Linked DNA regions of Rhinolophus ferrumequinum. The protein of the gene in region 1 interacts with the protein of each later gene in a pairwise test. Links are inferred from orthologs where the notes say so. Each region holds a gene or a part of one and is shown on either strand. Other genes may lie near its edges. The genes, in order: UBQLN1, HK2, HSD17B12 and TMCO6.

Region 1 (7,194 bases):
CCCAGAGCTGTACTTATGTGGATGTTAGGCATTAATTTGCCTCCTCTTGAAAAAACAGTGTTTTGCACCTTAGGGGTGGTCATAAGAGGCCTTCAAGTGTTTAAGGAAACACCACGGGTAGATCACAGAGCACTAAGATCTGACAGGGAGGACTATCCAAAATGAGGCTGCCCTTGATTTCTTGGAAGTATTTCTCAGAGGAATAACTTTCTTGCTATTTGTATGAACCTGGGAGCAGTTATTCTTACGAGAATCATTCAATTAGAAGAGGTGGAACAAAATTTGTCCTGAATTTAGCTGAAGAGATCAATGACATCACATTGGCCCTGGAAAGCATTCAAGTCAACCTCAACTCGCTGCTCAGGGTATTTATGATGTAATTGCTCTAGACTCCCTCCTCATAAGCCATGGCAAAGTATGTGCAATTGCTAAGACATCCTGCCATACCCAGATTAATGCTTTGGGGCAAGGGGAAGTCAATACAGAAACAGTACTAAGGAAGCAGCCAAAGTAGATCTCGATGGTTTATAGGATTTGTTCAGTTGATTGGGTCTGGACCCTTGAGGAGCAGTTAATACTGCAGGTTGGCCTCATCTTGCTACTTGGAATCTTGTTGATAATAGCCTTATTAAATGTTCTAGAGACAAAAAATGGATTTGATCCCAGCCTCTGGTGGTCAGATTAATCACAATGACCAACAGAGTGACACCCTCAAAGGAGTTTTCCAGAAGCCAAGAAGTGCAAAAACAAGGAGTGGATATCATCGGGAGATAATTCTTCATGGGTCTCTCATATTGTGTGTATTTTGTGAATACAGGCACTGACTACTATTGGTGGGCAGAATAATGGCTCCCCAAAGATCCTAATCCTCAGGACCTGTGACTCTGACGCTTTACATGTGAAGGACTTTGTAGATGTGATTAAGAGATGATGAGATTATCCTGGATTACTTAGGAGGGCTCAGTGTTATCACAAGGGTCCTTATAAGGGAAAGAGGGAGGCAGGAGAGTCAAGAGATATACAATTGAAGCAAAGTTGGAGTGATTTGTCCATAAACCAAGAATGTGGGCAGTCTCTAGAGGCAAGGAACAGATTCTATTTGTCCCCCAGAGCCTCCAGAAGGAACACAGCCTTTGATTTTAACCCTTTCTAAGATCCATTTTGGACTTCTGACCTCCAGACTTGTGAGGTAATAAACCTGTGGTGTTTTGAGCCACTAAATTTGTGGTTGTTAACAGCAGGAATAGGAAACTAATGTACTGCCTTTGTTTTGGACTATGTTTTCAAGGATATCTGTATAGCGAACTGTCCTTGAAGATCTCTGAGCAAAGGGCTGCAGGATTACTGCCCATTTGTAAGATCTGGGTTCCCCACGCTTGGGATTTCTCTTAATGCAAGTCACTGTATGTGCAGGTGTCACCTGGCCCTCTTTGCATCATTCTTCAGAGGTTAGGGCTTGCTGAACTGGTGCCAAAAAAAAAGAAAATAAAAAAAATAAAAAAAATGATGGTACCCTGGCTACTGCTATTACCGCAACAAAGTCTGTTTCCAACCTAGGAATTTTGTCTTCTGCCAGCATTCATGAAACTTGGCTTGTAAGTACGTAGTGGGAAAATCTCAGACCCTTCACAATGCCTGATTATAGAATAACTCAGATAAATCACACTGTCATTCTGTCTTCGCCTTTCAATTCACTTGGGAATCACGTTATATGAATTATTGGGATGAAATGGAGTGATTGAAGGCTATACGTTTTTTTCTTTTTTAAAACACCTCTCAGCTGCCTACAGGTATGTAGACTATCTCAATAGGTTGCCTTCTTAAGTACTACAGAACTCCCAACATCCTAAAGCATCTTTTCCTATAAGCATTAGTATTCTCTGGAATACGTAGATGATTTGCTTCACATAATAGATTTTGCATTTTCACCTACTTCTCTCTGATCTCAGAGAGTACTTAAAATTTCTCCATGGCTCATTTGCTTAGTCTACACAACATGATGGCAGACTCTTCACATAGGATAACCTCCTAAGGTCAGGAAACACAGTCCAAATACATATGTGTTGAATAAATTTGTTATCTGAAAAGAAATCATTAGGCTGAGAGCTTCACACAGTGAATGGTTCCTTCCTCTGAACCTATTGCGAAGCAAGTAAGTTTCAAGGTATAGCAGTATAAAGTACGCATATGATCTAGAGTTCTAAATGAAATTTCCTGTCTAGTGGAAACATGACAGCCCAATAATTCAGTTCAACAATAAATACTCTGAAGCCAGGAACTGAGTGCACTGTGTGATTAAGACTTGATCCCTGTTTTCAAAGATCTTGTCTAATAAAGGACTAGACACAATTACGTTTAATACACGGCAGAATGTGATAAGTGACACCAAAAACAGCAATAAAGCTATATGGGAATATGCGGTATTTATAGAGAATGTATGGCCTACAAAGTCTAACATACTATCTAGTCTTACTTGAAAGTTTGTTGATCCCTGATCTGGACCCCCATCTTCAAAGGTTCCTTACAAGGTAGGATTATTTCTAAAAAGTGCTTTAATGAACAAATAACTATACCATATATTCTTACAGATACAGTACTTCATAAATTGTGCAAATACTTCAGAATTTAGAAATTAATGTAGACAATTAATTACAGAACAATTTTCTTAAGTGTTGGGTTAGAGATAAATGACTGGTTGTCCAATGGTGGAATTTTCTACCTTGAGAAGTAATGATTACCTTACATCTAGACACAAATATAGTCATCCTTCAGCAGAGAGCCTTGCATATGTTATTGAACAATGCTGTCAGAAATTTAGCTGATACCAGATGATGACTATATTGCAATTTATACTTTCCCCCCCCCTTCTTCCGCCTGCCCTCACCCCTGCCCCCCATTCTGGTTCAAGCCCTATTTCTCAGTCCAGCTGTGTATTATGAGCCTTGCACTCCCTCCCTGCTGAGGCAATCAGCTGGCCACTCATGGTAGCCTACCGCAGCACATAGCAGCCCACAGCAGCCCACGCCAACCTCCTGCAGCTCATGGCAGCCCAGCTCCCGGGAGAGCCATTGTTCACAATCTTAGCTGTAGAGGGAGCAGCTTACTGGCCCATGTGAGACTTGAACCAGCCACCTCCTCCACCTGTTTGTTAGCACTTGGAGTGCAGCGCTCCAACCACCTGAGCCACCAGGCCGGCCCCAATTTATACTTTCACAACTCCTTAGGCCCAGATTCCAAAGGGACTCTGCTTTAAAGTAGTCTTCATGCAACAGTATTTTTTTCCCAGAAGAGAGTTGGATAATTTAAAAACAAATGCAGAGTGCATCTTTGCAATATTTGGGTCACGTTGGGCTGTCGGGGTTTACATTTGTGTAACACCGATTAATAAAGTTAACGTTCTGGGTTGTACATTCCTTGAAAGTCATCTTTAAAGGCAAACAATGGCATCATTTTAAATTTGGAATTTTCAAGGGGAAAATAACTTCTTATTCCTTATTTGTACCTACACTACATTGAAAATAATTATCTTTAATATTACCTAAAGTTTGAAATAGAGCAGTAACTTAATTTGGTAGAATATAAAATGGAACACTTCGGCTAAACTTCCTAGTTGGGTGGGCACTGTTTCTGTCCCAATTTATGGGATAGTGTTCCCAGAAAATTGGGGGGGTGGCGGTGCTCGCGCAGGATTGTAAGAGCGGGAGCGGAGGCCCCAGTCAACACAGGTGGCCTGATCACCTGAGCACACTGGCCTGACCCAAGGACAGGAAGCCGTGGCCATAGAGCAATGACTCGCGGGATTGCGCACAGCGGCTGGAGACGTCTACATTTTCCTTTCGTAATGAGGATTTTTCCTCCATTAACTTAACTTCCAACTTCCGCGCACTGGGCACTAAGATCAAGCATTTTAAACCTTCCAAATAGGCAAAAACTGATCGTATTAAAATAACAAAACACCTCCCCTGCATTTATTACAGACCCCCGTCCCAGTGGGATGTACGGAGGGCGCCCAGACCCGCGAGCGCGGCGGCACGGCCTTTGACAGAACCGGGTAGGGGGAACTAACTGGACCCCCACCGCGCAGCCGCGACCACAGCAGCAGCGCCCAGTGGTCGAGCCCCCTTTCTAGTATTTTCGCTAGGCGCAACGTCATTCCCGTGCGCCGTGACAGTGCCTCCCAGAACCTGCGAATTTATTTTTTGGTGAAAGGAGTGAAAAGAAATGAACTGACCTCTCCCACTACACTTTGCTTTTAGTCCTTCCCTCTGGCCGTGCCTACAATTTGGGCCATGGAGCGGGAAAGGGAACGTAAAGCAGCCGGAACTCGAAGCGGCGCCGGCTGGGCATGACTCGGTGACGCCGCCAGCCGCATTACCCGGCGTGCCCTGCGCCGCGCCGGCGGAGGGACGTTGGGGAGGGGTGGGGAGGAGGAAGCGGCGGCGGCTGCGGATGTCGCTGCGACCAAGCCGCGTCTGAACGGCGGCTGCCGAACGGCCGACCCGGGCCTGCACCGGAGCCCACACCCAGCTCCGCGGCCCGCCGCCCGCGGCCCTGCGCCTGTTGACACCAAGGCGGCGCGTCCTGTATTCTCCGTTGCCCGAGCCAGCCTGCTGTGGCGTCTCCTGGCTCCCCCTCGCTCGCCTGCACCCTCCTGAGTCACTGCCGCCGCCGCCATGGCCGAGAGTGGTGAAAGCGGTGGCCCTCCGAGCTCCCAGGACAGCGCCGCCGCGGCCGAAGGTGCCGGTTCCCCCGCGGCCGCTGCCTCCGCGGAGCCCAAGATCATGAAAGTCACCGTGAAGACCCCGAAGGAGAAGGAGGAGTTCGCTGTGCCCGAGAATAGCTCCGTCCAGCAGGTGAGGGCCGCCCTGCGCTCGGGCCGGGGTGGGGGTGGCGGCAGGACCTCCGCCCGCGGCGGGAGGAGACGGCTTTGCAAAGGCCTGGGAGGGGGTCGTCCCCGGAGGTGCTCTCGGCCATCTCCGGGCTCGTCCCAAATTAGATCACACCCAACTCCGTGGATTTGCGCCTTGGGACACCGCTGAGGTTTGTGGCGGGGCCGCGCGGCCTGTTTGTAGAACGCGCCGACGCCGCTTCCCTCCGCGCCTTCCTTTTGCTCTGGCGTCCACGGACCCCCAGCCTCCGCCCCCAGCTCCCCGCCCCCAGCCGCCTCCCCGCTGCTCAGCACAAAGGAAAAGGACTCACCGTCTGGCTCCTGGCGAGGTGAAGGCTGAGCCGGGGCGAGGGTTCACTTTAATCTAGTCGGCGGTTTTGTCTCATGAATAAAAAAACTGGGCGGGGGGTGCTCATTGTTTTACCTGCCTGTGGGTTAAGGTGGATTTTACTGTGAGGAGCACGTGTACATTTAGTTTTGCATTTTGACTGCTGATGTCTTGCCCATACTTTATATTTAGTTTTTTAAATTAACTATGACGTAGATATTGCGTACAGCCACATCGTAAGAAGTAATACTAGGCTTAAGGAGAAAGGTGGATGACTTGCAATGATGACTTGCTGTTTTTAATGTGTTTATCTTGCCTTAGATGCCAATCATTGAGTTGCTTTTTGTTTGATTTTAGAGGAACGATAGCTGCGTTATTCAGATATTATCGTAGCGGTTGCAATCGAATAAAAGAACATAGTTGGCGTTAATGGACAATGCTATCGAATAATTTATAACTTAAAATCTTCAGGAATACAAATTGTGCAGTTAATTAGAAATCTTGAAGAATTCAACAAATGGTTTTAACTTTGTTGAATACATCCCAGAAAATTTTCTGTAATTATTGATCTCTGGCGATTTCAAACATTGTGAACAGTTTATGAGGAAACAGCAGACCCTAAAATGTACCTGTTTCCCCAGGGACGGTAAATGGGGTATTGGTTTATATAGTTCCAAAAGGTGGTGTGTTTTTTGAAGCGGTAAGTAGAGCATGTAGCATCGAGTGAGAGAAACTTTTACCACCTACTGAATCACCACGTTTTTTGTCTCAATTTTCCTAGGAAATTTTTCCTTAATTTTATATTTTACAACATACAGGAAAATTGAAAGAATTAGACAACGAACACCCATATGTCTATTGCCTACAATTAGCATTTTGCTGTATTTGCTCTATCACATCATTTATTAGTCCATTTTATTTTTTGGATGAATTTCAAAGTAAGTTGTAAGTATCAATTCATGTTACCCTTAAAAAGAACTTCAGCAATGTGCACATCATTAACCTGAGTTCAATTTTTCTTTTAATTTTTTTCTTTTTAAGTTTGACTTGCAATAAAATACACATGGTTTCCATTCTGTGTATTTCCACAAAACTCCTGTGTAATCTAAAGACTCATCATGATGTAGAACTTTATAGTAGACTAGAAAGTTACGTCTTACCCAGTCAGTTCAGTCACTCTCCCCTCCATCAACCACTGTTTTCATTTTTTTCCCCATGGGTTGGTTTTGCCCACCCTAGAATTTCACATAAGTGGGATTATATAGTATGTATTGGGTAAGGCTTTTTATTCACTCAGCATATATAAGTTTTTGAGATTTATTCTTGTATATATCACTGATTCCTTTTTTGTTGCTGTGTTGTTTTCCATTGTATGAATATACAGTGGTACTTAGGTTTTCCAACATCTCCGTTGACGAACATTTCAGTTTATGAACGCCGTAAGTTTTATGGATCTATGGTATCATTAAATAGTAAAATTCATGCTGAATTTGCAGTTTTAGGGGTTGATTTTAAAGATCTGGAATGGATTAATCCATTTTGCATTACTTCCTATGGGGAAACCGAGCCTCGGTTTTTGAACATTTCAGAACTCAGAACGGTCTTCCAGAATGGATTATGTTCGAAAACCGAGGTACCACTGTACCGTAGTTTATCCATTTTGTTGAGGTTACTTTGGCTGTTTCCAGTTAGTTGCTGTGAACATTCTTGTACAAATCTTTTTTGGACAGATGCTTGTCTCATTAAATACAATGGTACCTCGGTTTTTTAACGTAATCTGTTCCAGAAGACCGTTCGAGTTCTGAAACGTTTGAAAACAGCTGACAGCTAGGCCTCAGGATCTTGCACTCAGCGGAAGCCATGTGACATGGAAGCCATGTGACATATTCCACTTCCGAGGCGTGTTTGAAAACCAAAGCATTTACTTCTGGGTTTACGGCATTCGTAAACTGAAATGTTTGTCAACAGAGAGGTTCGA
Region 2 (6,954 bases), on another chromosome or scaffold:
GATGGAGTCCACTAATGACCCCAGCAGAAGGTGGGGTGGGCAAGAGCATGGTGCTCTGGAGCCCGACTAAGTGGCTTCAATTCCTAGCTCTTATGAAAAAAGCTAGTGATCTTGAACAAGTTAATTCTGTGCCTCACTTCCCTACCAGTGAAACAGGGATGCTGATAAAACAGCAGGTCCTCAAATAGAATAACGTTGTTTTGATCAATGTCATTTCATTATAATGTTGATGAGATGCCACAGGAACTTAATTCTTGTTTATATCAATTAGACCATGGTAAAAATTGGTTTCATTATACATCATTTCTCTTAAACTCACAGAGCCTATCATTAAGCAAGGACTTACTGCAATTGTATCTACTTCATAGGGTTGTTGTGAAAGTTAATGAGCTAACATGCGAAGAGCTTAAAACAGTGCCTGGTACACAGTAGGTGCTCTATGTGTTTGCTCTTGAGTTTCAAACTGTCAATGGCAAAAGTTAACAAATAATCCTAATTCCCTTCCTAATGGCACAAAACACTGGGCTTGTGCATCAGGAGACAAGTGACCCCAGTGGGGCCAGCTAGTCCTGGGCAGGTGACCCTAAGCTTTCCATGCCTCAGACTACAACCCAGGAGACATAAGATGATGGGGATTTCAGAAGCATCCAAATCAAGGCCTGATCAAGACTCTAAAATTAAACTCAATTGTCCTCCTTCTGTGCTAATTCTTCCTCCTAGCAGCAACTTGAAAAGAAGCTTCCAAAATATTCTCTCTGATTCTCTTCCTACTTCCTATGTGTTTGCAGCTGGAATCAAACATCTGTGCTCACTTAAGGTTCTAACACCTGGTGAGTTAAAGGCCTGATTCAACTCTGCCCCCATTGGTAATTTAGAGGAAATACACCCAAGTGTCCCCCAGGCACTTCACAGGATGAAAGGTAGCAGTTGCAAGTGTACAGAAGAGAAGCCAACAAGAAAAATGTTTTCAGATTGCGGTGCTTAATTATCACAACTCCATAAATTGGACAGGGCCGCTGTTTGTCATCCCCATTTTACAAAAAGAAATTGACAGTCCAAAGAGGCAAAGTGCTGTGCTCAGGGTCCTATGGTTAAAAAACAAAACAAAAGAAAAAAAACCCCACAAAACAGAGATTAGAACTCATTTCCAGATACCAGGGCTAATTCTCTTTCCACTTTGGGACCAAAGAGATAGTTTCTTTCCAGGCCAGGAGGGTGGTACAACTCCACAGTTCACGTCCTAGCCTCCTTCCTCTGGATTGGGGAAGAATAAATCTGTAAAAGAATTAAAATGTCCTGGGGTGGTATTCACCCAACCGAGAAGACCTTCAGTTGGAGTGAAGATCCTACATCTTTGTATTTTAGGACTTGCCAAGGGATGACGGTCTTCCCCAAGTGTTAACTCTCTTCTTGGGCAGAGAAGCCCAAAGAAGTTGCCAAGATCCTGCCAGCTCACAGACACGTTCTTAACTAAACTGAATTAAAGTGCAGAGCAGGACCACATCCCAGGAATGAGTTAGTGAATAAACAGAGAAAAACTCAACTCAAACAGCCGCCCTCTGCTCCCTACTCTAGTCTGAACCTGAGTAATTCCCTGCTTTATTGGGGGGGAGGAGGCAGGGGGGCGTTCAAGTGCCAGGGCTCTAAAAACACCAAGACCCACCATTCTCTCCTTTGCTCTCAGGGTCTCCAGGACGTAAATACAAGCAGGTTGCCCACCAAACAATAATGTCAAGACATTTTTCCCAAAAACGTGTTCTCATTAAAACACAGAAACTTTAAGTACCGTTTGTAATTGAGCAATGCTCCGTCAGTGCCTCACAGCATTGGGCACTGCCCACCCTCGCCCCAGCCCATCCCCTCTTCTCAAATCCTAGCTGAGGCCCACCGCCAGGAGCCAATCCTGAAATCCCGAACATTTCAGAAACTGAATTCTCCCCAGAGTGATAGGTTCTTGGGCCCAACCAGGCCCCACCCCCACCCCATACCCGGAGGCACTGAGAGCTGGGCTCTCACCGCGCGCCAGAGGCTCTTTTTTATGTAAATGATTGGCCCGAAGGGACCGCTCGGACTGGGGAGCCTGCTGTGCGCGAGGTGGGCACAGACAGGTCAGGTACTGGGGCAGGACAAAGCTCGTTTTCGGAACGACAGAAATCTCAAGGAAGACAGGAGGGGCGGAGGTGGGGGGAGTTAGTCGTCTCTGAGTAACTTTTAGGAGCACCAGAAATAACATCCTAAGTCCGCCCCCCCCCCCAACTTGGAGACGGCCCCGGGGACCCAAGGCTGTGCAGTTCTGAGGCAGATGGAAGACGGGGGGCCTTGTACGCCCCTTGCGGAGCCTCAGTTCCGGGCGCTTCAGTTCCGGGGAGTGGGCGCAGCGGGCGGAATTCCTCCCTCTCTTTCCCAATTCCCTCGTGGGTGGGCCTCTCCCCAAGCACACCTCCGCAAGGCGGAGGGGAACGCCAGTAGGAACGGCACTTCCCCAAAACGCGGTACTTTTGCGCAGGAGGCCCCTGGCAGCCCCACGCGGCAGCGGAGCCTCCTCCCCCAGCCACAGTTCTCCCCACGTGTTCTCGCCGGAACTCAGGCTGCGAAAGAGGGGCTCCTCCCACGTGGGCCCATCAGTCTAAGACTCCTTGCCCGGTGACCCGCCCCTCCAGAAAAAAAAAAAAACGCGAGCACGCGCAGGGTGGCAGGGAGTGAGAGCCGCGCGGAGCGCGAGCCCCAGCGCCTCACGCGCGCGCGCACACGCCTGCCTGTGCCTAGCGGACGTGGCTCCTCGTGCCCAGGAGTTTACCCGGCCGCCCAGACTTTTTCCACGTCCTTCGCCCTGAATGGGGAAGAAGCATGTCCTCTCGGGGTCAAGGAAAATTCCGGCCGGGAACCCGGAGAATAGGCCGGGGACCATACAACTTTGTCAGAGGCGAGCCAGCTGCCTCTGCCCGGCTTACTTACCTTCTGCACTTGGTCATGGTTGAGCTCGGTGAAGAAGTAGGCGAGCAGATGCGAGGCGATCATCCTGTGGCGGACCGACGGCGCCGAGTTGGGAAACCAAGGCTGGAGCGAGTGTAGGAAAGGAGGGCAGCACGGTTGGAAAGCTTTATACCCGGGCTTGGCTGCCCGACTGGGAGCGGTAAGTCCGGGCGGCCCACAGAAAAGGCTAACAGTGATGGCACGCCCGGCTGAAGGGTCTCGGGTCTCTAGAAATAGGTTTGGGGAGTCACAACTGCTAGAAGGCGCCCAAGAATCACTCCCGGAGACGTCGGGTTGCCCCGCTGTCAAGGCTCTAACTTCAACCACAGGATCACTAAGGCTCAACTTGGGAAGAATCGCAGCTCGGCTCCACTAAGGCGATCGGACCTCTCCGGCTCACACGCGCCCTGCTCTCGCCCACGGATCTTCTCCGCTAGGTGACTCGGCGTTGCTAGTGGCGGCCCGGGACTCCTGCACTAGAGTTTCGTGCAACAATGTGCCTTATTGAGGGGCTGCCGGCTCCGGGGCCGCCCAGTAAATGACGCGCGCACGCCCATTGGCTAGACTGGGAGGGTGTGTGCACCACGGGCCGCCCGCCGCCACAGCACAGCCAATCAGCGCGCAAGGCCCGTGGGCGCGGCCGCTCAGACACCCGAGCCTGCAAGCCAGAGGGGCGCGCCGGGGTGGGGGGGCGGGGCCGGTCGGCAGGGATGAGACGTGTGGTCCGTGGCAAAAGGCTGGAGCGGAAAGGCGCATGAGCCACCGCCGCGTCAGACTCAGCTATGGGTGGGGGGCGCGTGATCACAGACCTGGCGTGTCGGGCGACTGGTAAGACAGGTCATCCGACCAACACACGTCCTGTGCAGGGACAGAGATACCGTTTGGCATCTCGTTGTCATGTGAGGGGCCCCACTGGCGGGTCACACTTCTGAAGTATCTTAGTTCTCACCTATTGTGGCTCAACGGGTCCCAGCAACACTGATGCAGAGCGAGCTGCCGCAGCTACTGCTTACTTGATGTCAGGCATTGCAAAACTGATAGAACTTGGCTTTCACAGTTTGTATAATGAGAGAGAGAGAGAGAGAGAGAGAGAGAGAGAGAGAGAGAGAGAGAGAGAGAGAGAGAGAGAGAGAGAGAGAGAGAGATATGATAGTTTTATTATATGTATTCTTTCTCAAATCTTTCCCATCTCTCCAACGATCCTAATTCACATACCCAACATCTCTCACTTGATTGCAACAGCCTCATATTTGGGCTTCCCTCTTTAGATATAGAAACATCATAGATTGTACATAGACTTAGATATCCAACAGAGCTTCTTAGAGGAGTGAGGTGGTCAGCTTTGCTTTTTTAGAGCAATAACTGCCTCCCTGTGGATTCGGGGAAGAGGTCAGAGACCAGAAGCAGAAAGCAGCCAAAGCTGTAAAAGAGGACCAGGGCCTGAACCCCGGGGAGGGTTAGGCAGAGCATCAGGCTATGGGTTCACATGTTTTAAAGTCTGAGTTAGAATTTATGGCTTTGTCCAGGATTGGGTGATGAAGAGCAAGGATGCCTGCTCCCTAGATATAGTTGGAAACCCAATAGTCCAGTGCTGCAAAACCCATTGGTCCCAGGCAGTTGGGACCAAACCCAGTGGGTTGTATCAGCTATGATCTGTTCTCCACAAACTAATTTTAGAGTCTCTTCTCCACTTCCCTCTCTGGTCCCATTTCATGTTGACCAGATAATGAAAGTACATACTCATATTATGTCTTATAAAGTTCCCAATCCCAGGAGGGGGTGGAAGTAGTATTGTTATAGCCCTAATTTATACATGACTAAGGGGGGTTACCCACACAAGGCCAAGACTGTATCTTCAACTTTTCTGATTCCAAACTCCATGTCTGAAGTTTATTATTTATTGATTCTCAGCTATCTCTATCTCTCTCTCACACACACACACATTGAAGAGACATCCATGTAATTGAGACTCCACAGCACCAAGAGAGAAATCAATCAGCAAATATTTATTAAACAAACGCTTACAATATTTAGACAGTCTGCTCAGTGCTGTGAGAAATATGAAAGAAACAAGATGTGGTTCTTGTCCCTGAGGGATTAACTATTTAATCAGAGATATAAAATCCATACATAAAACAATGATTACAGAATGGAAAAGTCTATCATCGAGAGCCAAACATGTGTGTGTGTCTTTATATGTGATGGAGTTTGGGAGGAGGAAAAAACAGAGCCACAGGCCAGAGTGAGCCAAGGGTGGTCTGATGGATACAAATGCCAGCTTTTACACCAGGCTGGATCTGGCCTCGTATAGGACTGACCTGAGCCGGGCACTAAGCTTCAGGGAGCTGTCCTGGGAAGATGCCACTTTATTAAAAGAACTTCATCTACTAAATATTCATTTTTCTAATTAGGATTCATCAAGTTTGCAGGTTAAGTGTGGAATTATGTAGAGAATTTAATATTGATAGTGGGCCTGCCCTAAATATACTCAGGACTCCTTGTATCATGTTGTCTTTAAATATTGGACCCTAACGATCTGCTTGTTTCATAGTTCAACTATAATGTATGAATTTAGAAGATTGGGAAAGAAAGGCATTGAAAAGCAGTTCAAATAGAAAAATGGAACCCACAAGATACATAACAACCTCATTTTATCATTCAGATTTGCAAACAGAACAAATTCAAGCTATTTTCAGCAGCAAGGGAGTTTGCTGAAGAATATTTAATCCCTTTCAGGATCTTCAGGAAGGCCAGAAAATCAGGCTCAGAGGCTAACCATCCAAGAGTGATGTCCAAGTTATACCATTGAACTCCACTAGTGGAAATGCTACTGCTATGACCATTGGGCTCAGGTACCTCTGCCCACACTCCTGATGCTGGCACAGAATTTAAATCCAGGACATGCCACAGCCACCTTTGACAAGATGTCTGTCTCTCAGTATCCTTGCTAGAAGGAAATCTACACAGTACCTCCTTCTTTATGGCATTTGCTTCCAAACTGACATCTAGCAGATGGTGGCAAGAGCCTGGGCCAAATGTCCATGCCCTAGCTGCAAGGAAAGTGAAGAAAGCATGCCCAGGAAGTCAGGATCCACAAGTGGGAGAAGTCCTCAAATGTAAGAAGGGTATTCAAAGGGGCTGGCCAGGCCCAAAGCTTGACAAACATCCACCCCGCCCAACAGTCACTGAATATGCTGTATCAGAAAGTTTAAAGTGCCCTTAGACAAATTGGCTTCCTAACATTCCCAAATCTATCCAAAAGATTAAAAAATAAGACATGTGTTCTCAGTGGGAGCTAAACTAGAAAGTAGTCAGTACGCTAAATGACACCAGGAAAACTCACTGTCAATGAATTGACATGGGCTGGATGATTCACCCTGTCCACACACATTCCGTATCCCAGAGCCTGTCCACAGATGTATTCAGTGTCACAGTAAATGAGAAAAGGCCACTGTGAAATATTGCCAGGAGGCCCCCATCCAATGCCATTCCAAACATGAGGGCTATCGTGTCTGATTCTGTCATCCTTCTGGCCCTATGGCCATATATTCCCCAGACGGTTTGCTTGAGAAGAGCATGGCAGCATGCTGAGGCTGGCATGGGAACACTATGTGGTCTTGGACCTGTCTGAGCCCCAGTTTCCTCTTCTGCAAAGTGGAGATCATGAGATGGAACGTGCAAAGCCTTTCGTTCAGAGCCTGGTATGTAGTATATCTTGAATACCAGTTTCTAAACACATATTTCATATTATCAAGTCGTCTATGCACTAAGAACTCGGTAGTTAAAGAAAATTCCAGGGCCAGCCCGGTGGCCCAGGCTGTTGGAGCTCTGTGCTCCTAACTCCAAAGGCTGCCAGTTCGATTCCCACATGGGCCAGTGGGCTCTCAACCACAAGGTTGCCGGTTCAACTCCTCGAGTCCCACAAGGGATGGTGGGCTCTGCCCCCTGCAACTAAGATTGAACATGGCACCTTGAGCTGAG
Region 3 (7,918 bases), on another chromosome or scaffold:
TTTCAAAACCAAAACAAAACTATTGATGATACTTGCTGCTCTCTCCTCTCAACCCTACCGTACTCTTTGCCAGATTAATTTCTACTTATTCTTAGCTCCTAGCTCAAATGCCACCTCCTTAGAAAGGCGTTTCAGGGAAGTCTCCTCTTCCCATCCAATTAGGTCCTCCCTTGATCTTCTTTCCTTAAGTCCTATTCTTTTTTCTTTGTATTTATTACAATTTTTGTCATATAATTACTTGGATGTCTCTCTCTCTCCCATTAGACTGTTTTTATTTATTCATTCATCCAACAGGTATTTATTGCATACAGGTACCCCCCCCGCCCCGTATAACATGGTCGTTAGGTTCCTAAAAATGCCGTGTTATGTGAATCTGTGTTATACGACACAAAGGACTAGTACAAAAGAGGGGGTTAGGTTCCAAAAATTAAAAAAAATACTATCATATTTTTATAATTAAGAGCAATGTCTTTATTAAAGCAATTTTCACCAAAAGTATAACATATTAATATGTAGTAAATATTTTCTTTGTCATTGCTACTAAGAACCATTAAACCAAGGGCGGTTTTTTTTTTTTGTTTGTTTTGTTTTTAAAGATTTTATTGGGGAAAGGGAACAGGACTCCATTGGGGAACAGTGAGTGTGTACTTCCAGAACTTTTTTCCAAGTCAAGTTGTTGTCCTTTCAGTCTTAGTTGTGGAGGGCGCAGCTCAGCTCCAGGTTCAGTTGCCATTGCTAGTTGCAGGGGGCACAGCCCACCATCCCTTGCGGGAGTCAAGGAATCGAACTGGCAACCCTGTGGTTGAGAGCCTACTCTCCAACCGAGCCATCAGGGAGGCAGCTCAGCTCAAGGTGCTGTGTTCAATCTTAGTTGCAGGGGGCGGAGCCCACCATCCCTTGCGGGACTCGAGGAGTTGAACCGGCAACCTTGTGGTTGAGAGGACGCGCTCCAACCAACTGAGCCATCCAGGAGCTCAGCGGCAGCTCAGCTCAAGGTGCCGTGTTCAATCTTAGTTGCAGGGGGCAGAGCCCACCACCCCTTGCGGGACTCGAGGAGTTGAACCGGCAACCTTGTGGTTGAGAGCCCACTGGCCCATGTGGGAATCGGACCAGCAGCCTTCGGAGTTAGGAGCACGGAGCTCCAACTGCCTGAGCCACCGGGCCGGCCCCAAGGGCGTTTTCTTTTTTACAAGGTATCTTTATCCTCTGAATTTAATACTCCATGAACAAAACGGATTTAAATTGTAAAATTCTGCAGTCAAGTCTGATACATCCATGCTTGAATGAAAATTTTCAAGTGAGATATCTTTTGCTCTTAAAAGCTCTTATTACGCTCCGTGTTGTTTGGGGATTTCTCTAATTCTCAAACCATAGAGCAAAACCGTGTTACAGAAGTGCGTGTTACATGGGGGTTACCTGGACTTACTAAGTGTCAGGTAGTCTTAGGTGCATATCTTAGGTGAAGACACAGTGAACAAGAAAAGGTCACTGGCCTCAGGAACTTACATTCTATTGGGAAGATGGACTAACACCAAATAAACAATTCGAAAGCATTAAGTGTTATAAGAAAAACAAATTAGGGGAAAAGAATAAGTAGTGACAGGGTAAAGGAGAGAAGGCTATTGGGATATTTATGCAGGGCAGTCAGAGAAAACCGCTGAAGGGGAAGGATGTGTGAGCAAAAGCCTAAATAATATGAAGGGGTGAGCCTTGTGAAATAGGGCGCAAGGGGTTCCAGGGAGAGGAATCAGGAAGTAGAACTGCTTTGAGACCGGAATAAACTTGACTTATTTGAGGAACTGCAGGAAGTGTGGATAAAATCAAGTGAGCACAGGCAAGGGGGCTCGATGCTGCTGGAGAGGTGAGGGCAGGTACACTAGGAGGACTTTCTTCTTCTTGTTTTTTAAATTTTATTTTGGGAACAGTGTGTTTCTCCAGGGCCCCTCAGCTCTAAGTCGTTGTCCTTCAATCTAGTTGTGGAGGGTGCAGTTCATGGCCATGTGGGAATCAAACAGGCAACCCTGTTGTTCAGAGCTTGCGCTCTACCATACGGAACTATCTGGCTGCTCCAGGACTTTCTTCTTAATGTGATATAATGTCCTTAAGGGATTTGAGCAGAAGAAATAATATCTAATTTACTTAAAGAATAAACACTCTAGTTCCTGCCTGGAGAGTCATCCCCAAGACAGCCTTCAGGGAAACCAGTTAGGAGGCTATTGGCGTACTCCACTCAAGAAATGCTTGTGGTTTGGATGAGGTTGACAGTAACAGGAGTGGGGAGAAGGTTCAGTTAAGATACATTCTGGAGGGAGAGTGAACAAGACTTGCTGAAGGATTGGACATGAGACTGTAATGGAAAAAAAGAGAGTCAAGGTTGACCCCTAAATTTTAGGGCTTACAAGAAAGTGGGTAAATAGTGGTGCTTTTAATAGAGATGGGAATAAGAGAGGTGTGTGTGTGGTGCTGGTAGAGTTCTGTTTTGAAAATGTTTAGTTTGAGACGTTTATTTTTATTTTACATTTGAGTGGAGATGTTGAGTAGGCACGTAGAGACACACACACACACACACACACACACACACACACACACACACACCCACCCCCCCCTCAACAGAATTTGAGGCCGGCCACAGACATTTGGAAGTCATGAGCTTACAGCAGATACTTAAACCCAAGGGACTGGATGAAATCATGCAGGGAGACTGTGTAGAGAAGTAAAGAGAGCTGGGGTCTGAGCCCATGGGCATTGCATCATTTAGAGGCCAGCAAAAGGAGGGAACAGCAAAAGACTCTAGGAAGGAGCAGCTGGTGAGGAAAACAGTGGCCACCCACGGTTGAATGGCAGAGTAGGATGAGGACAAAGAATTGACCATTTGCTCACTATTGCATACCCAGTACCTAGCTCCTTACTGGTACATAATTAGAACACAATAATATTTGTTGAATGAATGAATCTTTTACTTACTTGTCAGACATTTATTGAGGGTCTCTAGGTCCCAGGCCCTATTCTAGGTTCAATGGATTCATAGCATACTGCTCCCAATAATCATAAATTCTAGTCGGGGCCATAGACATGCATATTACAAATGCAACAAAAATATGTATTTTTAGTTTATAAGATCTCTCTTCCCCTCCTTCTACTTTATCCTAAGGAGAATAGGACTTAATATTTGGAGTGCCCTTTGTTGGTGAGCAATAATGAAATGGGATGTATACATTTGGGGCTGTATGTAGGTAAAGATTTTGGCAAGAGGAAGAGGCTGAGGGAGAGGAATAGTAGGACTTTAGTTGAATTGGACAGGCAGCCTCAGCCAAAGGTATCAAATTCCATTGAAATAAAATATGGTGCCAGCTCAACTTACATGGCTGAATTATCCTGGACAGTTATCAGTTTATGAAGAACAGTACAGCCTCAGGGTTACACTTAATTAATTTGGTAAATGTCAAACAAACTCAAAAGGAGTCTGGAGGCTTTGGCTAGAAATAAATGACAAAGATCTATTTAATGGTCTGAGAGTTTGCAAACTGGAAACACAACTGGGCAATACCCACAGTGTTCAAAGAAGACAGAAAAGCTAAGGGTTCTTATAGTAAACAATACATTCTTAAGAAGAATCAGTCCTGCATTCATAGCCTCTGGATTGGTTTAAGATAATAATCCTCTAAATGACTGGTGGTCTGGATAGTAGATGCCAGATGGTCCGGATACATGAATATTCTTTCCTTAGTCCTTCAGGGGGTAATCAGAGGGTTATCTGGAGGTTTGATGTATATCCAGGAATTGATACAGGACTGGAAAATTCAAAAGTTTAAGTTCCCAGGATAGTTAAAACAGGAATAGAATTGTTTCCTCATGCCTCAACCTACTTGATTTTAGTAATTTGTCATGCTGACTATAGTGACTCCATTTTATTTCTTCACTCTATTCCTCAAAAGAGAGTGGAGAAAGAATGGGAGGTATCTCTCTCTAGAAATAAAGAAAAAATTGTAGGTACCTTATAAGAGTCCAAATCCATACCAGAAAAGGAAACAAAAATTGATTATAGAATAAGTGTGAAGCATTGTATTGCATTACACAATTTCTTAAACTTACCTCGTGGTCTTTCTCCTCCGGAACTTTGGTGAAATAGTTCCCATACTTCTACTTAGACTGCACACTTTTGTGCCTCCTCTCATCTCAATCCCCCCACCCCAACAAAAAAAAAGGAAATAAAAAAAGAAAGTAAAAGAAAAATCTGTCATCCTTTAAGGCCCAGTAAAAACATGGCGTCCCTTTCCAGAACTAATTGTTCATCAAGCTGTTAATACATTTTTCATTCATCATACATCTCTTATGCCATTGTGTATTCGTTACTTGTCTCCATGAAATCATTTGCTTTGAACTCCGCGACTTTGGGAACTATGTTGTTTAAACAGTAAGTGAATATAACCGGAGTGAAGGTGTGCTGCGGAGAAGGCATAGAAACAGGAGATGCAAGACTTCATACGGAAAAGCTTATGGGAACAATGAGAGCCTATTTAACAATGATATAGAAGTACTTAATAAAGAGGTGAAAATAAAACCATAGTTGCACGGCCATTTCTTACTACAATCTTGCTATTCACCAGTGGCTTCTCTGATCCCATTCCCCCTTCAAACCCGAGCTCAAACCAGGCTGGGTCTCATTGGCCAATTGGAGTGCAGTCTTCCGGCTGCAGCCAATGAGAGACCTGGGCTATTTCGTAGGGTGAGACGTGCCGAAATCCTAAGGGCGTGGCAGGTGAGCCATCAGTCTCCCTAGAACGGAAACACGGCCGGGCGCGCAAGAGGGCGGGGGCATGGGCCGGGCAGTGCAACTGGAGTCAGCCAATAGCTGACGCACTACGCGCTGAGGAAAAGATAGATCACCAATGGCGGCACGGATATGGCGTTCTGGGCGGGGTTTCAGCCAAAAGCGGTACCGGAGCAGCGCCTATTAGAGTTGTCCTCACCGTCACGGCCGGTTCCTCCTCCAAGATCCATTCATTAGATTTTTTTCATTCACGAAAGTAGTGAGGCCTGGTTGAAAGCCATGGAGAGCGCTCTCCCTGCCGCCGGTTTCCTGTACTGGGTGGGCGCGGGCACCGTGGCCTACCTGGCCCTGCGCATCTCGTGCTCGCTCTTCATGGCTCTTCGGGTCTGGGGTTTGGGTCACGAGCCTGGGGTCGGACCAGGGCTCGGTGAATGGGCAGGTGAGTCGGATCCAGCGCCGTCGGTCTTCTCGCTCCCGCAGCGGGTCGCGCGGCTTGCGGCCCGGCTTGGCCTGCGCTGACCACTTCCGGGCCCAGCGCATGGCCTCCCCTTTCCCTGCTCCCCTCTCCTTCGTGAGGCTCCTGCGTACCCGCCTAGCCCCTTAGCCATCTCTGGCTTGCCTAGACTTGTAATTTCTAAATGCTAAATACTTTGCTGGCCCAACTCGAGCGAATCTAAAGGAGAAATCTGGCCTGAACTCTCTGGGGCGCTTATCCTTTAAGCCATTCCGGGTTCATGGCTCGAAGTCAGTCTCTGCTGCTTTCTCAGTCACACTCTACTCACCTTTGTTCACCCCTTCCGAGTGTTTTACAAATATTTTCATTGGATTTGAATACTGGCCCTGTGTTAAAGATGAAAAGCATTCTGTTCGCTTTTTTGGGGTGAGGCTGAAGGAAGAGGACATAGAATTTCCGAAGTCTTCCTGCTTTGTGGAAACTTACCCCTCCAGTTACTTGGATTCAGCCAATTTCATGTAATTTACAAAACCTTTAAAAGAAAATATTCGGTAAACTGTTGGAGTCCTCATGAACTATTGCTTCTGCAAAACGGTAACTCTTCATGTAAAAATCAGAAATACTTTTTGTAGAAGGACATTTGGGAAAAAGTATCTCCACAAAGAGCGAGCTAAGCAAATGGCTCTTGTTCCATCCACTCGGAGGATTTTAAAAATGGAAGGGAAAGGTCAGGTTGGAGAAGTTGAGAAAATTACCTGCAGGGAAGTTTTGCGCTTGGTTTTATTTTTCTGCTTTATTGTTGCTTTTTTTTTTTCCTTTATTTTTCGTTTCTCTTACTTTTTTTTTTTTTTAAACCAAGTGATACGCTGTGGTCGTTCTCTGATGTGATTATTCTGCTGTTTTATAATATGAATGCTGACTTCGAGCATTTTATTGGATTTTGGGGTGGTTTGGGGTTGTTTTCAGATTAGGCTCAAGTAAGGTACACAAATAATATTACTCCATATTCTTTATTCATTTAGAAACATTTTAATACCCTTTTGGGGCAGCAGTATAAAGAAAGCTCTCAAGTAGGGAATGGATATATAAGAGCTCTGTCCACGATGTGAAGCAGCTCTTAACATAGTACTAATTTAAAAAAAATAACCTTTTAAAAAATATTCTTTGAGAAAGCAAGTGTTCAACTTGATTATAATCAGGATTATAATTTCACAATTGGCTTGCCCAAGTTCTTGGTTGTGAGGTTTGGAAAACTTGTTGTTGGACTTTTGAAATAGTTACACAAGACTCCAGAGTCTTGGGAAATCATATATCAAGATGAAGTTTTGTAATTTGTAAGCAAAGACGGAGGTTAATAGCTTTTAAAAATATATCTAAAATTGACCATAGTGGCTAATAACTAAAATGGTCCAAGTCATCTCTATGAGTCCATAGTAAAAGTCAAGTGTGTGACATGGTCATTTTGTAAGTAATACTTGTATTGAAAAGATTTGATGCCAGAAGAAAGATTTTTGATTAATGAAGGGAAATGTTTAAAAGATTTAGAAATGAAAGTTGAACTAGAACACTGGAATATAGCAGAGAGGATCATAGTGTCATAAAATGAAATATTGTTGAGTTCAGTTTACCCTGGATTGTTGGAAAATTTTTTTAAGTACGTAAGCATAAGAAATGATCAAGTTATTTGTAACATTACTTACATGCTTGTATGTGGTAGCCTGGGTCTTAAAATACTTCCGTCATCCCTCCAAATTCAGGGAATCTTTGAAAAACAAAGAACATTAAGAGTAGCTCATCTTAAACAGGTTCTTTGTGTCAGCTGGACAGGTGTACTGAAATACTTTGAAAAACAAACCAGCAGAGATGATACTTGAATAAATAGGATTAAATTGTGATTAAAAATAAGTGGGTAATTTGTTCAACCAAAGTTAGGAGTCAAGAATTAATTTTGTCAATAAACAATACTAATAAGTTTTCTCTCCTATAGAATTGCTTACTTAATCATGCGCAAACTTGAATAAAAGCAAGTAGCAGGCAGTACGTATTAGGGAGGCATTGCCTACTTTCTAGTACTTACTGTTGATTTGACATCTTCCTCTCCATATCAATTAAATATTTTAAGTATTACATCCTCATTTGTGTTGAGTTAATAATATATTTTGTATTCTTGTTATTCTTAAATCTCTTCATGTGACTATGTTTCATTTTTCCTCCTCAGATTTCAAAATCTGAGAGGCAGGGACTGTGGGTCCACATTTTTTTGTCTTTTCCCACAGTGACTGGCACATTGGTCAGATAAAATCTCTTCTAAACTTAAAAAGAAAAGCTTGGAAAAACCCTGAAATACAGGCATGCTTTGCAATCAGTAAACATATTCCAGACCACAGATTCCTTAGTCTAGTTAGGTTTTTACGACCATCCATTGCTTGCCCCATACGCTAGTTTATCTCCATCTCCCAATCAAGAGCGTGGTCATCTCTTCCCAAGTACGCTCCAATAACATTCCCACTCCGTGAATTACAGTGGTTTCACCAGGTCCCTAGCAGATGGGTTTAGCCAGTTTAGTAGGGAAGACTGTTTGGCCTGTCATTGTTATGCGATACTTCCTGTATTTCTTAGGAGAACAAAGAGATCCTGTGAAAGTGAAGCTTCAGTTGTTTGAAGGTCACTGTGGCAAGTAATGAAAAGAAGAT
Region 4 (6,823 bases), on another chromosome or scaffold:
GGAGGGGTGTAACAGGAAGCATCCTGCAGGACCTTGAATATGCCCTGGGCCAGGCAGTGTCCTGATGACTTAGGCGCCCTGGTGGGTTTGGAGAAAGGAATTCTGCCGGTGCCTCCTGCCTGGACTCTCACCTCCCTGCCTATATCCCAGTGACTCAACCTGTGGAGTTTCCTTGACGTTTCCCTATTCTTGGTGGTTACTATTAACTTCCCGCCACCCAAGTGCAATCCCCTAAATATCTTCAGATATTTAACTGGGTATTTGGTGGAATAGATTGCAAACAAACTTCATCTATTGACTCCCAGGGCTGGAATTAATTAAAAAAAATTTTTTTTATTGGGGAATATTGGGGAACAGTGTGTTTCTCCAGGACCCATCAGCTCCAAGTCATTGTCCTTCAATCTAGTTGTGGAGGGTGCAGCTCACTGGCCCCTGTAGGAATCCAACCGGTAACACTGCTGTTCAGAGTTCCCACTCTAACTAACTGAGCCATCCAGCTGCCCCTGGAATTAATTTTAATAGAAGGAAGTTGTTTTGAAAAACAACTCCCTTTCTCTTCCTCCTCTCCGCCTTCTCTCTCCTCCTCCTCCTCCTGTTCCTCCTCCTCCTCCTCCTTCTTTTTTTTGCTGACTTGTTCTTTGTTTAACTTTATTGATTAAGAAAATAATAAAATAATAGCTTTCTTAAGTAGAGGTGTTTAACAGAAACATGTTGGCCAAGTCACTTACTCTCTTATAGTTTTCTTTTCTCCATCCTGAAACTGAAAAACTAGATATTTCTAACACAATTTTCCCTCTTGCACTGTTCTCCCCTACCTCTCACTCAACACAATTTCTGTGTCCTAGGAAGGAAGGGCTGGACCTATGTTGAATGAGGATTAATTGTTGAATGTAACTTAACTATTTTAACAAGAAAAAAAAGCAAGTGTCCCAGAGGGTGGGGTAGGGTTTATGCTTTGACAAGAGAAAAATTCTGAGATGTTCTAAATAAAATTACAGCAACCGGAGAGTGAGTGAAAGAGACAGGAATAATTAACCAGTTAATAGCTGTGGGCCAACTAACAAAGACTGCTCACATTCCTGAATGAATGCTGGAGCTTTGAATCAACCTCCAAGTGTCTACTAGCCAACCACGAGAACACTGCGTCCTACAGGAACACCCAGGACTCTTGTCTGTAAGCAATCAAAAGTAGTAAATAAATCTTCCCTATAGACTGTGCACCTATCAGAACTGCCTCCACTTCACCTTTTCCCACCCCCTTATCTGTATCCAATGTAAATTCTTTCAAATAATTTATACCTGTCTTCCCCAAACATAATGAATAGAAGAGCCTATCAACGCCAGGCTGGTGGACATGTTGCCTTCTCCACCTAGCCGTGCTGCTGGTGATGTAGACTGCATGCTCTAGTACCAGTCCTTGACCTAGTCCTTTTCTGGAGAGCATATGGCTCAATAAACCCTTTCTTTCAGAAAAGCTTTCAGCTATGGAAAATTTTTTGTGAACACTTTTACAATGGTCCTCACAGGTCTGCACCTCTGGATTTTTGGGGAAAGAGCTACGTGAAAAACATTTGAATTCTCACTTCCTCCTATTTTCAAGAAGTAGCTTCACATCTGTCCCCAATCCAAACAAGGAGGCCTCATGAGATCACATTTCCCCCTATGTGTCCTGTTAGACATGTCCTGATACCCTGAGCTAAGCTCCAAGGCCAGGCCAGGTCACTGGGACATCTCTGAGGTCCAAGATGTGGTCCAAGATAGCTCAGTGTTAAGTACACTGACCCTGCAGTCATACAGCCAGGCAGGGAATCCTAGGTCTACCGCTGAGGTTGCCAGATTAGGCAAGTGTCTGGACCTCAGATTTCTGAATGTCTGTTTTTAAAATGGACATAATAATAGTACCTATCTATGAGTAAAGTCTTTGGCACAGAGTGACATCTATTGACAGCAGCCCTGACTGTTATCTTCTTTGTCAGAGACTCTGCGTTCAGAAGACTCAGACTACTGAAGCCTGGCTCCTCAGCAAATCCCATCACCTTAGTGGAGGCACTCTGGATGAGGAGTCCAAGATAACAAGGGCAAGAAGTGTCTGTAAAGATTCTTACTCACACCTTAATTAACTCACACCTTAATTCAAGAATATCTATCATTTGTCTACCAAGACAAATATCTATCTTTGTCTACTAAGGGCTGGTGCAAAGCTCTGGGATGCCTACATGACCATCACTCAGTACCTCAAGTACTACAGTAGGTGGGGGAGGTGAAAATGGACCCAGAACTACTGTCCATAGTGAAGAGGACTCCTATAGAGGAGAAACTAAGGACTCACGGTAGCTCTGGAGACAGGAACAGCTAGCCCTGTAGTAGGGTGGACATGGGGCTGTTTCTTATAGGGTTAACAGTGTTGCCAGGCAGATAAGTGTAAAAAGGCAGTTTGGGCAGCCATAACTGTTTCTGGGTAGAACATAGCGTTTGCCTAGGGACTTGTCTTATCTTCCCCACCAATAGAAAGATGCGTGTATAGAAGTCAGCCTGTCCATGAGGAGAGGGACAAGACTCAGGCCCTATCCCCAGCCAGAGCATGGTACACAGCAGGTACTCAATACATGGCCTGGAGAGAAGATGTGGAGGAGAGGATGATGACCAACGGCTATTAAGTAGATGTTTTATGGAAGAGATCGAAGACTTTATTGATTGACTTCAAGAAGTAGAATTAAATTCAAGGGAAAGAAGTTGATTTGAAAAACAATGCCTTTTCCTGTATTTTTTCTTATTTGTGCATTTGCTTAAGTAATAGCTTTCTGAAAATTAGAGGCCTCCAAATGACACCTCTTAAATGCTACCAGGACTCTACTTTCTTAGAGTTGTGATGGGGGGTTGGGAGGACATCACATCAATGATATTATAACTTAATGAAAGCTGCGAAAAGGTTTGTGAAGAAGTATATGGTGCTATACACTCTCGTAACAGGGGCAACTGTCTCAGTAATTCTCAGTAGGGACACTGGAGTTGAGATCTGGAGGATGGTGTTAATAAAGGGGAGGGTGCTGGTTGGGGTAGGGAGTAGGGGGAACAGAGACAGGGCTCTAGGCAGAGGAATAGCCTGTGCAAAGCAGGAAGGAGGAAAAGAGCAGATCTTATTTAGGAAACAAAGAGAAGATCCAGAAAAGATGAGTAAGGTGTGGAGCCCTTCCAGCTGAAACTGGAGACATGTGCAGGGATTAGACCATGTAGGGCTTAAATTGGCCACAGGTCGGATTTTGAGGGTAAGAACACGTTTTTTAACTCACCAATGTTTCCCTAGTACCTAGTAGATGGATTAGTGGCGCTCAAAATTTGGCAAAAGAATTATTTTATCCTAAAAATAATGTGACTCACTTTTATGTAGAAGAGTGAAATAATCATATTTGTCTCATTTTCCTCACCTGTAAAATGGGGGTAATTGTTATGGCGAACATTTAATACGGCAACACTTGGCCAGCATGTAGCCAGAGCTCATCAGTGGGAGTCCAGTTATTGGTGAAATGGCATCTTGTATCTTCCTAGAGCTTGGGGTAGTTTTGAATGTTTCTCTAGCGTGTGTTAGGAGTGGGGAGGTTGTGTTTGCTGAGCGGTTGGTGACGCTACTGACTTTCCGCCCGGGTCCCAACCCACCTTTGGCCTTCGCCCCTTCCTTCTCCACTCTCCCCTTTTTCCCTCCATCCCACTCTCCCTCCGCGCCGCCCCGCCCCCCGCCCCAGCCCCAGCCCCTGGCTGCGCCCCCTCGCTCCGCCCCGCCTTCACTTCGCGCGTAGCCCCGCCCGCTCGCTCCTCCCCTTCAGACCTGCGCTGCGGCTGCGCGACCCGCGCGCCACGTTCTAGGCCTGGGGTTTCTATTCCCGGCCTTTCGCTGGTTGCGAATTTCCTCCAGCTTCACCATGTGGAGTCAACGGCACGGCCGTCTCAGGCCAGTGGGCTGCGGGGTGGAAGAGCTAAGACGCCGCCGGCGGGAGCGGGAGGCAGGTGCGGGCCGGCGAGGGAACACGGGAGGATGGGGGTTTGGCGCTGGGAGACAGGATGAGGAGGGTGGGAGACGGGGTTCGGGGTCCTGGGTGCCCCTTCCACCTCAGCCCGCGCCTTTATCCCCAGCCCTGCGGAAGGCGCGGAGGGAGCAGCAGCTTGTTAGCAAGAGGCTACTGAGAGATGACGCCCCAGAGGAAGCCGACGGGGGATGTGTGGCCCCGATCCTCGGGGAAACTGAGGTAAGGGGGCAGGGTGCGTGGTGAAGTCTACACTAGCTGGAGCCAGATTCCTTCCTCGAGTACTCGAGATCCGTCTCCAAACCTGAACGCGGTCCCTGCAGAACTCGACCTATCCAGTGGGCCAAGACAGAAACGGGTATCACCCTCCACAACTCCGACCCTCATTCCTACATCAATACTTTATGGAGTCCTAGCCGATTTTTACCTCTGGAGTCTTTACGTGCCTCGTCTTCGCAGCACCCACCACCCTCCTCTGGATACTTACAGCAGCCTCCTAACCGGTCATCTGCTTCTATGCTTGCCACCCTCAGGTTCATTCTCCATACATCAATCAGATGAGTCTTTTAAAGACACAGAGACCAAAATCCTTCCTGTGACCTATAAAGTCTAGCATGGTCTAACCTCTCCCTGCCTCCAAACTTATCAGCTTACTCATCTCAGCCAAACTGGCCCCTTTTCAGTTCTTGGAACAATATACCAGGCTCTTTCCTGTCTCAAGGCCTTCCATTTGCTTCATCTTAAGTGGGTCCCTTTTGGTATTCTGTCCTGACAGCTGTTTGCAGAATATTAATCATACTGTCTAATTGTTCATTTGCTTGTTAATTATTTCTCCAACTAGACTTTAAAACCATGGGAACCTAGACCCTATCTTTGTCATCACTGAAAACTCAGATGCCTGAACAGTATCTGCCATGTGGTAGATACTCAGTGCTTATCGAATAAGTGAATGGAAGAATGGTTATAGCTTGTTTATTCATTCAGCAAGCATTGGACTTCCCCTGCATTTGAATTGTCTAGGTTTACGTATGTAGTTTACAAAGTACTCACAGGTGCCTAAGTTATACCATATATTTAGTGTGTGCTTTATGCCAAGACACTGCAGGGTACTGAAGTACACAAAGATGAAAAGTTCCTTTCTTTGAAGTGTTCACAGCCCAGTGAAGGAGACAGATGTGCTACCACCTGTCATGAAGGCAACATGAGACACAATAGAAACCCCTAAGTCTGCCAAAGGAAGCCAGAAAGAGCTAATTTCCCAGAGGCAGTGACAGGAACAGAAATCTGAAGGGAATGGAGGACCTGGGGAGGGTATGCCAGGCAGAAGATATAGATTGGTCAAAATCTCGGCAGCATTAAGAAGTCATGTTATGCTAGGTGTTGTCGCATAGGGAGAATGACTGGAGGGGTAGGTTATGCCAGGCTGAGAGGTTAAAATGTTATCCTTGAAATAACCCTGTAGGAAGATGGGGATAGATGTTATTCCCATATTCCAGGTGAGAAAAAGATTTGGGTCCCTTGTAGAGGAAGTCTCAGGGCCGGTACTAAACCCAGTCCTGATTCCCTCTTCTGTCCACTCTCCTTCTGTCCACTTATTAGCCATATTAGTGTGAATGACAAGTTCTAGGGATAGTGCAACACTGGAGGGCTCACAGGTGAAGTGAGCAGAGCAGGACTCATGATTTGCTTTCTGGCAACTGTGCCATCTCTCCTCTCCCTGCCCTGGGCTCTAGATCCAGCAGTTCCTGCGGTTATCCCAGCGGGGGACAGAGGAAAAGGAGAGAGAGAGGGCTCTGGTCACCCTTCGTCGAGGCCTGCAGCACCCAGAGACGCAGCAGACCTTCATCGGGTCAGTGTGGGTGGTGAGAGTGAGTGGCTGGGGCTTTGAGGGATGGATAGGAGTGTGGACGGGGTGGGCCACAGGCTGAGCATGGCTCTGGTGCTCACTCATGTAGGCTGGAGGGCAGCATGCGGACCCTGGTCGGGCTTCTGACCAGCAACCAGGCCCTGCTGCAGCTTGAGGCGGCTCGGTGCCTTCATGAGCTCTCTCATTCTGAGCAGTCTGCGGTGGCTGAGGCCTGCCTGCCAGCCACTTCCTACCTTCTCACCTACGTCTCCGGTCACAGCTCAGACTTGATAGTAAGCCCTGTCTCTTCCTACCTTGTTCTTGGCTTGAGTTTAGAAAGTGTTCTTTTAGATCAAGTTTGAGCTGGCAGGTAGAGAGAAGAAACCCTGTTTCCCGATTCCCACAGCCATACACATACCTGTCACCCCCCACTTCTTTGTGCCTAGAGCCTTAAGGACAGAGCTACTCCATCCTCCCCACCCCCGCCCCCATTTTGGCCTGAACTGAGCCACGTCCAGTGCTTTTGTTGTCCTGCTCTCAGGAGCTCTGTCTGTATACACTGGGGAACCTGATCGTGGAGAGTGAAGCTGTGAGAAGGCAGCTCCTGCCACAGGGCATTGTTCCAGCCTTGGCTGCCTGCATCCAGGTGAGTGTCCACCTTCTTTTTCCTCCCTGGGCACCCCTCCCCTCACTTCTTTCCACTTGCCCCAGCTGCTGTGGTTAGGCATCTTCAGCCTAAGAGGTTGAGTCTCAGGAAATCTGACCTTCCAGAGTCTGATCCCTACCGTGTCTCCTTCTAGTCCCCCCATCTGACTGTGCTGGAAGCCCTTGGATATGCCTTGTCCCAGCTCCTGCAGGCTAAGGAAGCGCCAGAGAAGATCATCCCGTAAGTAAAACTATCTCCAGATGTGCAGGCAGGGTTGACCCACTTGGCAGTAGCCCCTAGATGCGTGATTCT

What was found.
Region 2: the proteins of UBQLN1 (region 1) and HK2 interact in binary tests that used the Homo sapiens proteins (3 or more experiments, as listed by UniProt). The two-hybrid records come from large-scale screens. The link is inferred for Rhinolophus ferrumequinum from reciprocal best matches to the Homo sapiens genes UBQLN1 and HK2.
Region 3: the proteins of UBQLN1 (region 1) and HSD17B12 interact in binary tests that used the Homo sapiens proteins (3 or more experiments, as listed by UniProt). The link is inferred for Rhinolophus ferrumequinum from reciprocal best matches to the Homo sapiens genes UBQLN1 and HSD17B12.
Region 4: the proteins of UBQLN1 (region 1) and TMCO6 interact in binary tests that used the Homo sapiens proteins (3 or more experiments, as listed by UniProt). The two-hybrid records come from large-scale screens. The link is inferred for Rhinolophus ferrumequinum from reciprocal best matches to the Homo sapiens genes UBQLN1 and TMCO6.

The regions. Positions count from the first base shown.
Region 1 is NC_046295.1:47,098,041-47,105,234, reverse strand, and holds the start of UBQLN1 (ubiquilin-1), read left to right. Parts: upstream 1-4,185; 5' UTR 4,186-4,673; coding exon 4,674-4,853; intron 4,854-7,194. UniProt on the Homo sapiens protein: Plays an important role in the regulation of different protein degradation mechanisms and pathways including ubiquitin-proteasome system (UPS), autophagy and endoplasmic reticulum-associated protein degradation (ERAD) pathway.
Region 2 is NC_046296.1:17,289,193-17,296,146, forward strand, and holds the start of HK2 (hexokinase-2), read right to left. Parts: upstream 3,019-6,954; coding exon 2,956-3,018; intron 1-2,955. UniProt on the Homo sapiens protein: Catalyzes the phosphorylation of hexose, such as D-glucose and D-fructose, to hexose 6-phosphate (D-glucose 6-phosphate and D-fructose 6-phosphate, respectively).
Region 3 is NC_046294.1:16,773,301-16,781,218, reverse strand, and holds the start of HSD17B12 (very-long-chain 3-oxoacyl-CoA reductase), read left to right. Parts: upstream 1-4,916; 5' UTR 4,917-5,050; coding exon 5,051-5,210; intron 5,211-7,918. UniProt on the Homo sapiens protein: Catalyzes the second of the four reactions of the long-chain fatty acids elongation cycle. This endoplasmic reticulum-bound enzymatic process, allows the addition of two carbons to the chain of long- and very long-chain fatty acids/VLCFAs per cycle.
Region 4 is NC_046307.1:15,176,366-15,183,188, forward strand, and holds the start of TMCO6 (transmembrane and coiled-coil domain-containing protein 6), read left to right. Parts: upstream 1-3,806; 5' UTR 3,807-3,917; coding exon 3,918-4,002; intron 4,003-4,128; coding exon 4,129-4,241; intron 4,242-5,750; exon of another isoform or gene 5,751-5,752; coding exon 5,753-5,868; intron 5,869-5,974; coding exon 5,975-6,158; intron 6,159-6,311; exon of another isoform or gene 6,312-6,406; coding exon 6,407-6,511; intron 6,512-6,665; coding exon 6,666-6,751; intron 6,752-6,823.